Linked DNA regions of Kluyveromyces lactis. The main gene of each other region encodes a partner of the protein of the gene in region 2 in a complex. Links are inferred from orthologs where the notes say so. Each region holds a gene or a part of one and is shown on either strand. Other genes may lie near its edges.

The links. Proteins that work in one complex are often made in the same cells at the same time.
Region 1: PRP6 (region 2) and SME1 share a complex: the UniProt entries of both Saccharomyces cerevisiae proteins name them as parts of the U4/U6-U5 tri-snRNP complex. The link is inferred for Kluyveromyces lactis from reciprocal best matches to the Saccharomyces cerevisiae genes PRP6 and SME1.

The regions. Positions count from the first base shown.
Region 1 is NC_006037.1:203,555-207,586, reverse strand, and holds SME1 (mRNA splicing protein SME1), read left to right. Parts: upstream 1-2,292; coding exon 2,293-2,574; downstream 2,575-4,032. Other genes in the region: mRNA transport regulator MTR10, read right to left, coding at 1-2,020; mitochondrial 37S ribosomal protein PET123, read right to left, coding at 2,855-3,769. UniProt on the Saccharomyces cerevisiae protein: Involved in pre-mRNA splicing. Binds and is required for the stability of snRNA U1, U2, U4 and U5 which contain a highly conserved structural motif called the Sm binding site. Involved in cap modification.
Region 2 is NC_006042.1:394,832-402,500, reverse strand, and holds PRP6 (U4/U6-U5 snRNP complex subunit PRP6), read right to left. Parts: upstream 4,891-7,669; coding exon 2,233-4,890; downstream 1-2,232. Other genes in the region: LYS14 (Lys14p), read right to left, coding at 1-1,828; PHO89 (Pho89p), read right to left, coding at 5,232-6,983. UniProt on the Saccharomyces cerevisiae protein: Participates in pre-mRNA splicing. Part of the U4/U5/U6 tri-snRNP complex, one of the building blocks of the spliceosome.

The DNA of each region.
Region 1 (4,032 bases), on a different chromosome or scaffold from region 2:
TTCTATCGACAATGATAACATTAGAGATCGCATATGCGTCCAATAAGTTAATTAACTTTGTAATATGTTCGGAAATAGAGGCAATTAACGGTTCTTCAACACCTTGTTCTGGATACTCGAATTTGGGGACAATGTTCTCCAAAATTGCATAAAGCAAATCAATATAGTGTGCAACTTTTGCAGAAAGATCAGGATCAGATGGGTTCGAGATGAATTGCTGAATGATAATGTCAAACCTCTTATTATGTTGGGAGGTGAATGAATTGAATATGCCACCAATCTTCGCTGTTTCCTGCTCATTTATGACAGAACTTAAGCCTTGACACATCTCAAACATAGAGTAGTTGTCAACTGCGCGTTCAATTTTCCAAATAAAATCCACTAACTGGCCACAATAATTAACAAGAAGTGACGAGCAGTCCTGACAGAAATACATTAATGCATTGGAGGCAGCAACAGAGAGATCATGATTTGATTGGCCTGCTTCAAATCCATTGAATATATAATTCAATTGGATTTCCAGTAGATCCTCATGTTTACTGGTCCATTCTGTGTATCTCGAGAATACGAGTATTGTAGAATAAACCAATTTGGGGTGAGTTAGTGGATGTATGCATAGTTGTTTGAAAAGTTGGGGTAGCACAACGTTTTCAGTATGAGAAATTTCATGAGCCATTGTACGAACAGCAAACAAGGCAGCCTCTAGTGGTTGCCAGACCGTGTTAGGATCTTCTTTCTGAAGATATTGGTTGATAAGATTATATGGTTGCTGCAATGCAACGGTTGAACCTAAGACAGCAGCACAAGACTTAAGTACATCACCAATGTTATACCTAAAATCTTTAAATTTATCTTCATCTTCCTTATTTTCAAAAACAGTTTCCGGATAATGCAAATGTGTAATCAAACCATTCGTTAAATTAATAAATACATCCTGATATTCTTTTCTTTGTTGAGCGTAACGTTGTAAAACTAACATTTGCCTCAAATTAAACCAAAATGGGAAAGTATACGAAACGATATCGAGGTCAGTGTTCTTGCAAGTTAATACCAAGATGACTTCAACCAATGGTTTGAATAAGGCAGGATTCTTTGCAAGAAAAACACACCACGCTTCGCCAGCTTCAACGAATAAACGTGTGAGTGGATCCATAATCTCTTCGTATTCTTCCCAGTCAGAAATGGTTGTGATTGGCAATAGCTTTTGTTGCAAAGCTAAAAGTTGCTCGTAAAGCGCATGTATGATTGTATCGTTGGCTGCGTCTCTCGTTTCTCTTAATAACACACATAAGCATTCTACTGCAGCTTCAAAAGAATCAGAATCAGTATCATATGAAGTATGCAAGACTTGGAACACGGTGTTTATCAATGGAGTCACTTGTAATACCTGTTCTATTGGAAATTCATAACACCACGATCCAAAGCACGAAATGATTTTAGAAGCAGATATGCCTTCAGTTCCGACTCTATCCAAACATGAAATCAAAAATTTCAATACGTCTTCTCCAATGTTATCTATAAGTTCGTGTGTTCTACACTCAAATTCATCTTGGGATAGAGGAGTGGATTTGATATCCAATGTTTCCTCTGGGAGAATCTTCAAAAACAGTAGTAACTTTCCCGGAAGACCATTTAGAGTATTAATAATTTCAACTAGCGGATTCCTCCAATCAAGATACTGAATGGTAAATCGGGCTAGTGCCACGTTCAACTGTGTTACTATGATCTTCTCTTCATACATAGCGATGAACTCAAAGAGCTTTCCCTTGAAACTCTCTAATTCGGTATTGACCTGGTTTAGATCATAGGTGACTTTGTTCACTAGAGTTTGACAAGCAAACATTTGCAACTGTAAGTTGTCTGCTTCATGCTTGCTTAATACTTCGAAGCAGATTTGCCATGCTTCTATGCTCTTTTGAAATTGCTCCAAAAATTGTAAAGCTTGTATCTTCTTCTCCTGTTCAGAAACACTTTGAGTACAAATCAATGCACTCTTGATATCTGGGATTTGATACAACATCAATATTGATCAATCACGTCGTTCTTGCTCAACGGTATCTGCTGTGGCAGTTTTTATGAGTTCCTTTTATAGTGCATAAGTAAGATCAAATGTTTTGGTTGATTCAATATATAAAATTTTTTTAATATGTTAACAATAATCCTATTAAACTAATATCAAACGAATTCAACATGGCACTAGTGACTGACATTAATAAAGGATAACTGCGATCTGATTATAGTTACACTAACATCGACCTTCAATACACCGAAAGATTCTAGAAAAAGTCTAAAATGTCCGGCTCTAAAGTAGGAGCTCCTATGGTACCTCCAATCAATTGCATATACAACTACCTTCATCATCAGACAACAGTAACGTTTTGGTTATACGAACAAGTACAGACACGTATAAGAGGCAAGATCAGAGGCTTTGATGAGTTCATGAATGTGGTAATAGATGACGCTTTCGAAATAGCTGTAGATCCGAAAAGTGGTAAAGAGAGCGATGATAAAGCAGTGTTTCTTGGGAGAATTATGTTGAAAGGTGATAATATAACACTTGTTGTGGCAAATTGATAATGCCTACTCAGAAAATGATAATAGGATGAAAGAAAGATGCTTAGAGTGTAGAAGCATTGATCGGACTCTGTCGTGTAATTATATAAGCCTGTATATTATAACGGAAAAATGAAAGGCACTGAAATTTCGATAACGGCGACAAGCACTATCAAGGCTAATAAAGATATATTGTTCGTAATCTTATGGATCTATTTACAATGTGTTGCTCAGATTGGGGAGAATACCTTAAGTTCATATGGTTTCTTTTGTGTCAGTGATATTATCTAAAAGATATATCTCAAAGGACAGAGTCTTTACGTTCTTCCGCTTGTTTAGTTAATTCATCCAATTTGGTATTAATTTCCTGGTTAAATTGTTCCATCTCACCAGATAAAAATTCCTTCACAATTGGCAAACCTACGTATTTGCCGTTGCCCAAAGTACCAAATAATGCATCCGAAATTTCACCTTCGTTTCTTGCTGTTTGTTGAGAAGTCGACAAAGACAACTTATTTCTTAATACATCTTGGTTGTCCGAGGCGAATGCCTTTTCTACACTGGCCACCAGTTGTTCTTCTGTCACAATGAAATGGTCTGCTGCATGACAAAGCTGTACCAAGTTGGCAAGTTTGCGTTCTTTAGCCTTGAATTCAATCAATTCCTTGTTGTGCTTTCTCTTCAAATCCAGAATTTCTTGCTCTTCGGCAGTCCTTTGTCTCATAAGCGGTTGATTCATAATGCCCTCCAATGTTGGAATGGTCAAGTTACTCGAACGTTCTTTGTTAAGCTCTTTCAATTCGGCTTCTCTCTGTTCTTGTAGTACCCTTTCTTTCTTCTTCAATAGCTCTTCCTGCTTTAATAATCTTTGTTCTTCGTTACGTAAAGACTCACTCAAATATTTTCTACGCAACTCTGCTTGATTCTGCTTCAATAACTGCTGTTCACTAGCAGCCGTAGTATTTTCACTCTTAGGTTTCACCGTGTTATAGATAACTTCCTCCACATCAATGAATTTCAATGGAGGTGGATTTCTATGAGATCCTTTTGGATGTTTGATACCCTTAGCATAACCGACACCATTGATACCCTTAGGCTTGGCTTCTTTGACTCTTTCAAGTATACCCGTTTGGTTCACAGTTGGATTTTTCAAGATTCGTCTCGTTGATGGAAGAATTCCGCTCTTATAGCCATACTTTGCTGCACCCTTACCCATTGTTTCTAATGTTTAAAAAGAACAAGGTTACAAAATTTGATCACAAAAATGTCGCTGGAACTTACAGACCGTGGATCAACCGAAACAAGATTCGTCTTGACTGAAATTTTGGCTACTTAATGCTATAATACCTGTTACTCAAATCACTTTTCAAACCTTTGTTCACGTAGAGAACCAAAAATTTTCAGATTCGCATTGTGAAAGAGAATTTTAATCACGTGACAATCATCTGTGCGGGTAACATATAATTTAACAAGTTGATG
Region 2 (7,669 bases):
TGTCAATGAATTGATATTCAAGCTGCTTATCAATTTCCACGATGATTTTCTGTATCTTGAAATAAGAGAGCTTGTTCATATAGGCTTCAGAGTGAGAGTCAAAGAAGAGTAAATAGTCTATGTTTTTATTGATCATTCCACCTTTATTCCCGTCCATGCTTGTCTTCTCCAAAGACCTAATCAAGTTCAAACTTTTGAAGACCTCTTTGATAACAAGATCAAACTCTTCGTTGTGACCCCGTAAAAGATTGAACTCATTCAACGAGGTTGTGATATTTAGAGACTTCAACGACTCGACATACTGGAAATCGTATGGATCAAAAATCGCGTCCAAGTCTGTTTCCTCAACAAGTGCACCACCTAGCACGGTACTAATACTTGCAAAAGTCTCCATAACCTTAAACCAACATTTCGCGACATTTAGCACTTTTGATGAGTTTCCTGAATTGATCTTCTTGAAAAGTTCAGTGATACCTTTCAAATGGGACCTCCATTGGGAGTTCATTGTATAGATACAATCCCAAGTTAATAAAATGACAGTTAGGATAATAGGCTCAAGCTTATTAATGACGTTGGTTTCATTTTTAAACTGATCTCCGAGGAGTTGCAAACAATGTGATAAATAGCCGCAATACGCCTTTTCATCCTCCATTTTGTTTGATTTACGATGAACAATAGAGGCGCCCACAGCTAAAATCGCCGAGAGAAGATATGGTTCGTTCCTGCCGAATGACAGTAATATATCTCTAAGTGGATTATTTTGGTCTTGAAAGAAAGGTGTGATGGAATCCAAACAGTCATGGTAAAAGGTTCGCAGATATTTATCATGCAGACCACCTAGCTTGAATGATTCTAGAGATGTGTTGAAAGTGATTGTATTATCGACCAAAAAGGAGATTGGAACTGATGAAAACTCCGAAGCAGTGTTAAGCATTGGAAAGTTCAGATCTGGCAGATCTAAGTCGTTAAACTCAAGATCCTTTAATTCATCGCTAACCAAAGAGTCATTCAACTTCATACTAACAATGTCGTTGAGATTCTGAATCAAAAGATTGGCATCCATAGCGTTAATGCTACCTGCAGGTATGAGGTTTGGCAATCCTGAATTTACCAAAGAATCATTAACATGGCTATTCAGTGAGAAATTTGTTTCACTCTTCATCGTTGCATCATTCTTAACCTTTCCCTTCTCATCACCATCTTCAGTACATGTAGCGCATGCCCCTGCAGACTTGGGTTTTCTGGGTTTCCGTTTCTTATTCTTTGGATTCAATATATACACACACTTTCTATTCAACCTGGCACATTGCCAACAGGTCGGTTTGCCCTCGTCACATTTCATCCGTCTTTTCTTACACTCCAAACAACCATTTCTAGAATACTTACGCTTGACGATTTTCCCATCTGCATCTGTCGAGGGTGTTGCACCCGATGCATCTACGGAAGAGATTCCAGATGCAGGTGACATAGATGAACGATCACCTTGTAAAATATCAGAGATCGGCGATAGATTGGTAACTAGCACATCTCTTGGACTTGGTCCGATAGAAGTAGGTGTATTTTTCAACTGAACCGACTGAGGACTAGTGATTACGTGTTCAGAGGAAAGTCCAAGCAGAGTAGCAGTACTGGGCACTGAATGCGGACTTGGATGCGCTAGTAACGTCGAAGGAGACAGAATATGTCTGCTACTAGCTGGGAATAGTGGCGGCTGGCTTGCCCTGACACTTTGGGTCGGTGCTGGTGCCTCAGGTGCCGCACCTTGAGACACATACGATGCTGGAGTGAGACAATCCAAACTCTCATTGCGTCCCTTGCCGAACGACATACTTTTTCTGACCTATCAGTATATATATATAACTTCCCTGGTAAAAATGACGTGGACCTCGGCGGGTATTTAAGACTCTCAACAGCTGCTATCGATGTTTTTCACTTCACCTCCGATCCCTGTCGACTACCAATACTCTTCGCAATTTCGAAGTTCCATTTTGGTTGTTCGTTTTCAAATTTTCAAATTCCACTGGAAAAAGTTCTCTTTGATAGATATAAGAGCTGACTCTTTCATAGCAGAGAATCAGATCACAACGGAAAAATACACAGAACTGCCGCATATACTGGGTTAGTTACGATTGAGGAACGGAACTTCTGACAATGCGGAAAGTCAATTTACAGTCGCATCAGTGTTGTCCCAATTTTTATTATTACAATCTTACAATCTTACATTCTATCTAATTATTGGTGTAAATTGTTGATAATGCTGTGCAAAATATCAATCGGAGAGTTTGATATGTGTAGGTATGAGTTTACTGCGGGCTCCCATAGTATACCGTACCTGGGTTCATTTTCTTTCAATTTCTTTAACGTTTTTTCTTCATTTATTTGCAAATCAACTGGATTCATGCACGACTCGCAGATGTAGAGCCATACCCATGGGTCCCCAAATTGAAGATTATTTTCCGAGGCTCTTATGAACCATTTATATGCCTTCGCGTATTGGTGTTCCTTTTGGAACACTTTTCCGATCTCAGTTATCACCATTGGATGCTCTTTTGTAGCTTCGAGAGCATCTTGGAATGTGGTTTTACGTAGTGATTTTTTAGGAAGGGTTCTGATGTTTAGACACCAGAGCCTCCAGCTGTGTGGACACGCTTTGAGACCCTGAGCGATGAGGTACGTTACTTGTTTGTTATCTTTCACTTGCAGTTCCAATGTAATGAGAGCCTCGTAGAGTGTATCGGATTTTGGATTCTTTAGTAGAGAAACGCTGAGTATTGAACGCGCTTTGCCCCAATCTTGTGTTTCCATTACCAGTCTGGAGAACTCCAAGCACACTTCTGGATCATGATTAGAAATATCCGTAGCCCTCTGTAGCACACGCTTCGCTGATGAAAGGTCCCTTTGTTGCCTGTATAGCTGTGCTTTCAAGATTAGTAAATGTTTGTCGTTTGGTTCACGTGCCAAAGCTATATCAACAGTAGAATGAGCTATTTCCAAACTGCCTTTAGATTGCAAACACTTAACGTAAAAAGGAACTAATTTATCAATGCATTCTACCAAGTGTGATTCGGCTTCTTCAAAGGAATTTATAATCTCATCCAATTTGCCATCTCTGTTCAAAATTTTGAGTTTAGCCAACCAAAACTCAGGATACGCCGAATTTGTCACCAGAGCTTTATCTAAAATCGACAACGCTTCAGTGGAACCAGAACCCCAATCCCAAACGTCTTTCGCATACATTAAAACCAAGACAGGGTATTTCTTTACCGCTTGAGAATCTGTAAAGAGGATCTTCCTGAATGTTTCGTGTAGCTCTAATTTCCGCGAAAAGTCTTCGGCGAAATTGGTGAACTCCTTCCAAATAGAGTACTTTGTTGGATATTTGATTAGGAAGGAGGAAAACAAGGTACACTGAAGTGTGGTGTCGTTTACCAACAGCTTCGAGAGACTTTGGAAATTTGAGGATGCGTCTTCAAATAAGTTATTGATGGTAGCTGTGATGATTGCTTTCGCTGTTAATGGATACAATCCTTCTGTTGATATAGCGACTGCATTTTCGAACCACTCAGTAATAGTTGGATTAACTTCCAGTTCATGAAGATCCTTTATTGCGCTAGAAATGATATTTACCAACGTATCGAGATTTGCGGTCGTTCTTTTTTCTTCGAGTTGACATTTGAGAAGCCAGTATGTGATGTCTTTTTTAATATGTTCTTCAGCAGATTTCAAGGTGTCCACTGCAGATTCGACTGATTGTAACCTTATCAACTTCAACCATAACTGCGAATCCTTCGGCACTAATTCAACTGCTTTCTTCAAAATTTTCAGCTTTTCAAGAGTGGAAGTTTCAAGATTTACCGCCACTTCCCATAATATAGAGCTTAGTGGTAGTTTAATTAGAGCCTTTCGAGTGACTTTAATTTTATCAGTATTGTGTTGTTCGAGGGCGATTGCCTTCAACCACAACTGCTCACTAAACTCGTTGAGCCTTAAGGCAACTGTAACCAACCTCTTGCAATATTCTTTATCGGATGCGTTCATGCGTATCGATTCTAACCAGATAGCTTCACTTTTAGGGCACAGTTTACAACCTTCCGCTAGCAAACTTTTGGCTCGATTGAACTGATTGGCTCTTTCTTCGATTCTTGCTGAAGAAATCCAGTTTTCTGGATTTCTTGGATGGGATTTACGATACGCGGCTAATAGGGATCTGTTTTTCCTAATGTCTTCCAAATCCGTAGATGAAATAGTGTTGTCATCTTGGTTCATTCTATTCAAGTATTCAGCATCATCCGTAAGTTGACTTTTGCTGTAATCAAAACTCTTATCTATCTGGACAGCAAGTAACTTTTCCCTCTCTTCAGTTAACTTGGATAAGTTGACATTAACCTGGAACAAAGTGTCAGGAGCAGCGAATGTTTTCCTTTCAAGTTGTTCCTCTATTCGATTCCTTTTGTTTCGTCTGGTCATATCAGATGCGTCAGGGATATCCAGCCAGTCTTGCTCAGAAAGAGTTGCTAAATTACGCTTCAAATCTACAAATTTAGAAGATAGCTTGTCTGGTTCATCATCTGGCTTCGTCTTTAGGCTTGTTTCATTGTCGATAATTTTTTTATTCTTAAGTCGCTGTTCGATCTTTTCGTACACTCTCATCTCTTGTTCGTCTTCATCTTTAACCTGTTTCTCCGATGATTCATTCGAAACTGCTGATCTGTATCTATTTGGATTCTTTGTTACAGAAGTATCTGGTGCATCTCGCCCATATCTATTCAATCTAGCAGGAACTCTTTTATCATCTTTACTTCCTCTGGTGGAAAAGCCAACCGCTCCACGACCTATACCAGCGATGTAACCAGGTGGTGGAGATTGTTTTAGGAAACTGGGAGTCTCCATGCCTATCACCGTGATAGTTGTTTACTCAGATGATTTACTAGTGAATAGTTTACTGTATGAGATGTCCTTTCGATACAAATTTTAAAGGTTTTGTTTTTAAAGATATTCTACAGATTCTTAAAACAATAGAGAATAAGCGTTGATAGAAATAAATATCGATTCTGCTTAGAAAGAATTAAATATGCAGGCTAATATATGAGGAAATTTGCAGAATCTATAATACCGAATATGTTCTATATTTGTAGCAGATAAACTATTATCTAGCTAGTGCACAAACAATTAATTAATGAAAGTTCCTAAAAGGCGCTGAGGCCATGAGAAAGAAAATATCAATCTGATGATTATGATAATTGGTAATCTCCACCGTAACGTGGTGCGTTCAAGATGATACCGTTCAAGATACCTGCAATGAGACCAGCCATTGGAAGAGTTAAGAACCAACCACTGTAACAGAAAGCGACCATTCTCCAGTTAACGGATTTCAAATCCCTGTTACAAAGACCAACGGCCACAATACCACCGACAGCAACTTGAGTAGTAGAAACAGGAATACTTAATTGTGTTGCCATAACAGTGGTAACAGCAGCACCAAGTTCAACGGAGAACCCTCTGGATGGAGATTGCAAAATCATCTTGTTACCCAAGTTCTTGATGATTCTGTAACCGTATGTCCAACAACCGAGGACCAATGCAGCGGCACAGTATGCTAAAACCCATGTGTGAACGTCAGACTTAGATTCCACAGTGTTTTTCTGCCAGATGTCATACACGGCAGCTAGTGGTGCAGTGGCGTTGGCAACATCATTGGCACCGTGAGCAAAAGACATAGTGGCGGCGGTAATAGCTTGCAAGATAGAATAGATGAATTCGATTCTGTTGTCATAGAAGGCAGATCTCTTGTACATGTCCTTGAAATCTGTTGACAAAGCACCTGTATCGTAGACCTGAGAATGAATAACATCTTGAGTCCAACCGTGAGAAGCAATCAACCAAAGTAATAGAGGCCACTTCTTTGGTCCTTGTTTTAGCAATGACCACCATAGCTGTTTGGTAGTTGGTTTTTCTTCTTGCAAAGTTTCTGTTTGCACCAATTTGATACTTTGGTTGACAGATTCCTTGTCGTTAATTTCAATATGTCCCTCTACAGTATCTCTTCCATCGGCGGTGTGGGAAGTTTCAATTTGGGTTTCATCATCTCCGGCAGTTTCATCTTCGAATCTTCTACCTTCGTAGTAATCAATGGTTAAAGATTGTCCAGCAGGTAGAGGTGGAATGTCGTCAGTGGACTTGAAGTAGAAAGTTGGGCCTCTGTAAATATCATACCATTTTAGGGTCCAGTCTCTGTGCAAGATTCTTCTTCTGTAGTATGGGTACAAGAAGATGAAGTAAACAGCACAAGCGACTAGACCAGTAAGAACAATAGCCAATGCGGTAGTTGTGCCAGACAATTTATCCAACTTCAAGTTTGGAGAACCCTTCCAAACGATCAACATAGTCAACACCGAGAAGGTAGCGAACACCAAAAATCCGACGAGTAGTAAAGCGTTCTTAATAGCTTTTTCAATTGGCTTAACATCCAAGACCAGGAACTTGGAGATCAAGAAAATAATAGTGACCAAGCAACCGGCTAAGATTGGAGCAATAAACCAAGAAGCAATAATTTGAGAAACACCACCCCAACCCCATTGGACACCCTTGGCACCACCGGCAGCAATACCGGCACCGATGGTACCACCAACGATAGAATGAGTCGATGACACTGGCATACCAATAGATGTCGCAATTGAAAGCCAAGTGGCAGAACCGACAAGAGCACATGCCATAGTTAACATTAACACAGCTGGATCATCTTCGAAAGGTGAAGCAGAAATAATATTGTTCTTGATGGTACCAGAGACTCTAGCACCCGCTAAGACAGCCCCCAAAAATTCACATAAAGCAGCAAGGATCATAGCCTGCCAGTATTTCAAGGATCTAGATGAAATAGAGGAAGCAAACGAGTTGGCAACATCATTGGCACCAATATTGTATGCATCCAAGAATGCAAAGAGCATTGTAATGGCAAAAATGTAATCAAACTGTTGCAAAGCCATTTTTGTTTAGTTTGTTTGCACTGATGTGTTATTAGATCTGAATTTTGATCAGCGTTTAATTTGCACGTATTTTCAAATATTAGAAAAGAAAAGGAAAAAACGCCTATAGGACAGATGGTTTGACTAATTTATGCTTGTTCTGTTGCTTTCTTTGGTAGCTAGCTTCAAAATGGAAGTTAAATAGATGCTGCTGATGAGTACACTTGCTCCCTGGTGCAATGTTCGCTTGCCTTTTATAACTAAAAAAAATGAAAGGAAAAAAAAGAACCCTGGTGGGGTCCTTACGAATTAAATTAACAACTTTTCAGCACTACTTTCTCCCATGCAGACAGTAATAATCATAAAATAAACGTGGGCATCAATCCATCCCAACTTTCCCATCCTTCCATGTATTAAAATTAACAACCTAATGCTACAGAACACAGGTAGTATTCCAATACTCAAAACATTCCATTGATCACCAAAACTCTTACTCTTTCGCACAGTAACTACAGTGCAATGTCTCCACCTCGTAGAAACGATAGTGAAAGAGGTTGTCCAATATGGTAGGAGTATAGACAGTCTTTCGTATCTAACTCATCGATGTCAGAAAACAAAAGAAATTACTACCTTTTGATTCTCTTGAATGTTGAAAACACAACGGAAACGCAGAAACAAAGGCAGCAAAAACCTAAGGGTTCTCAGGG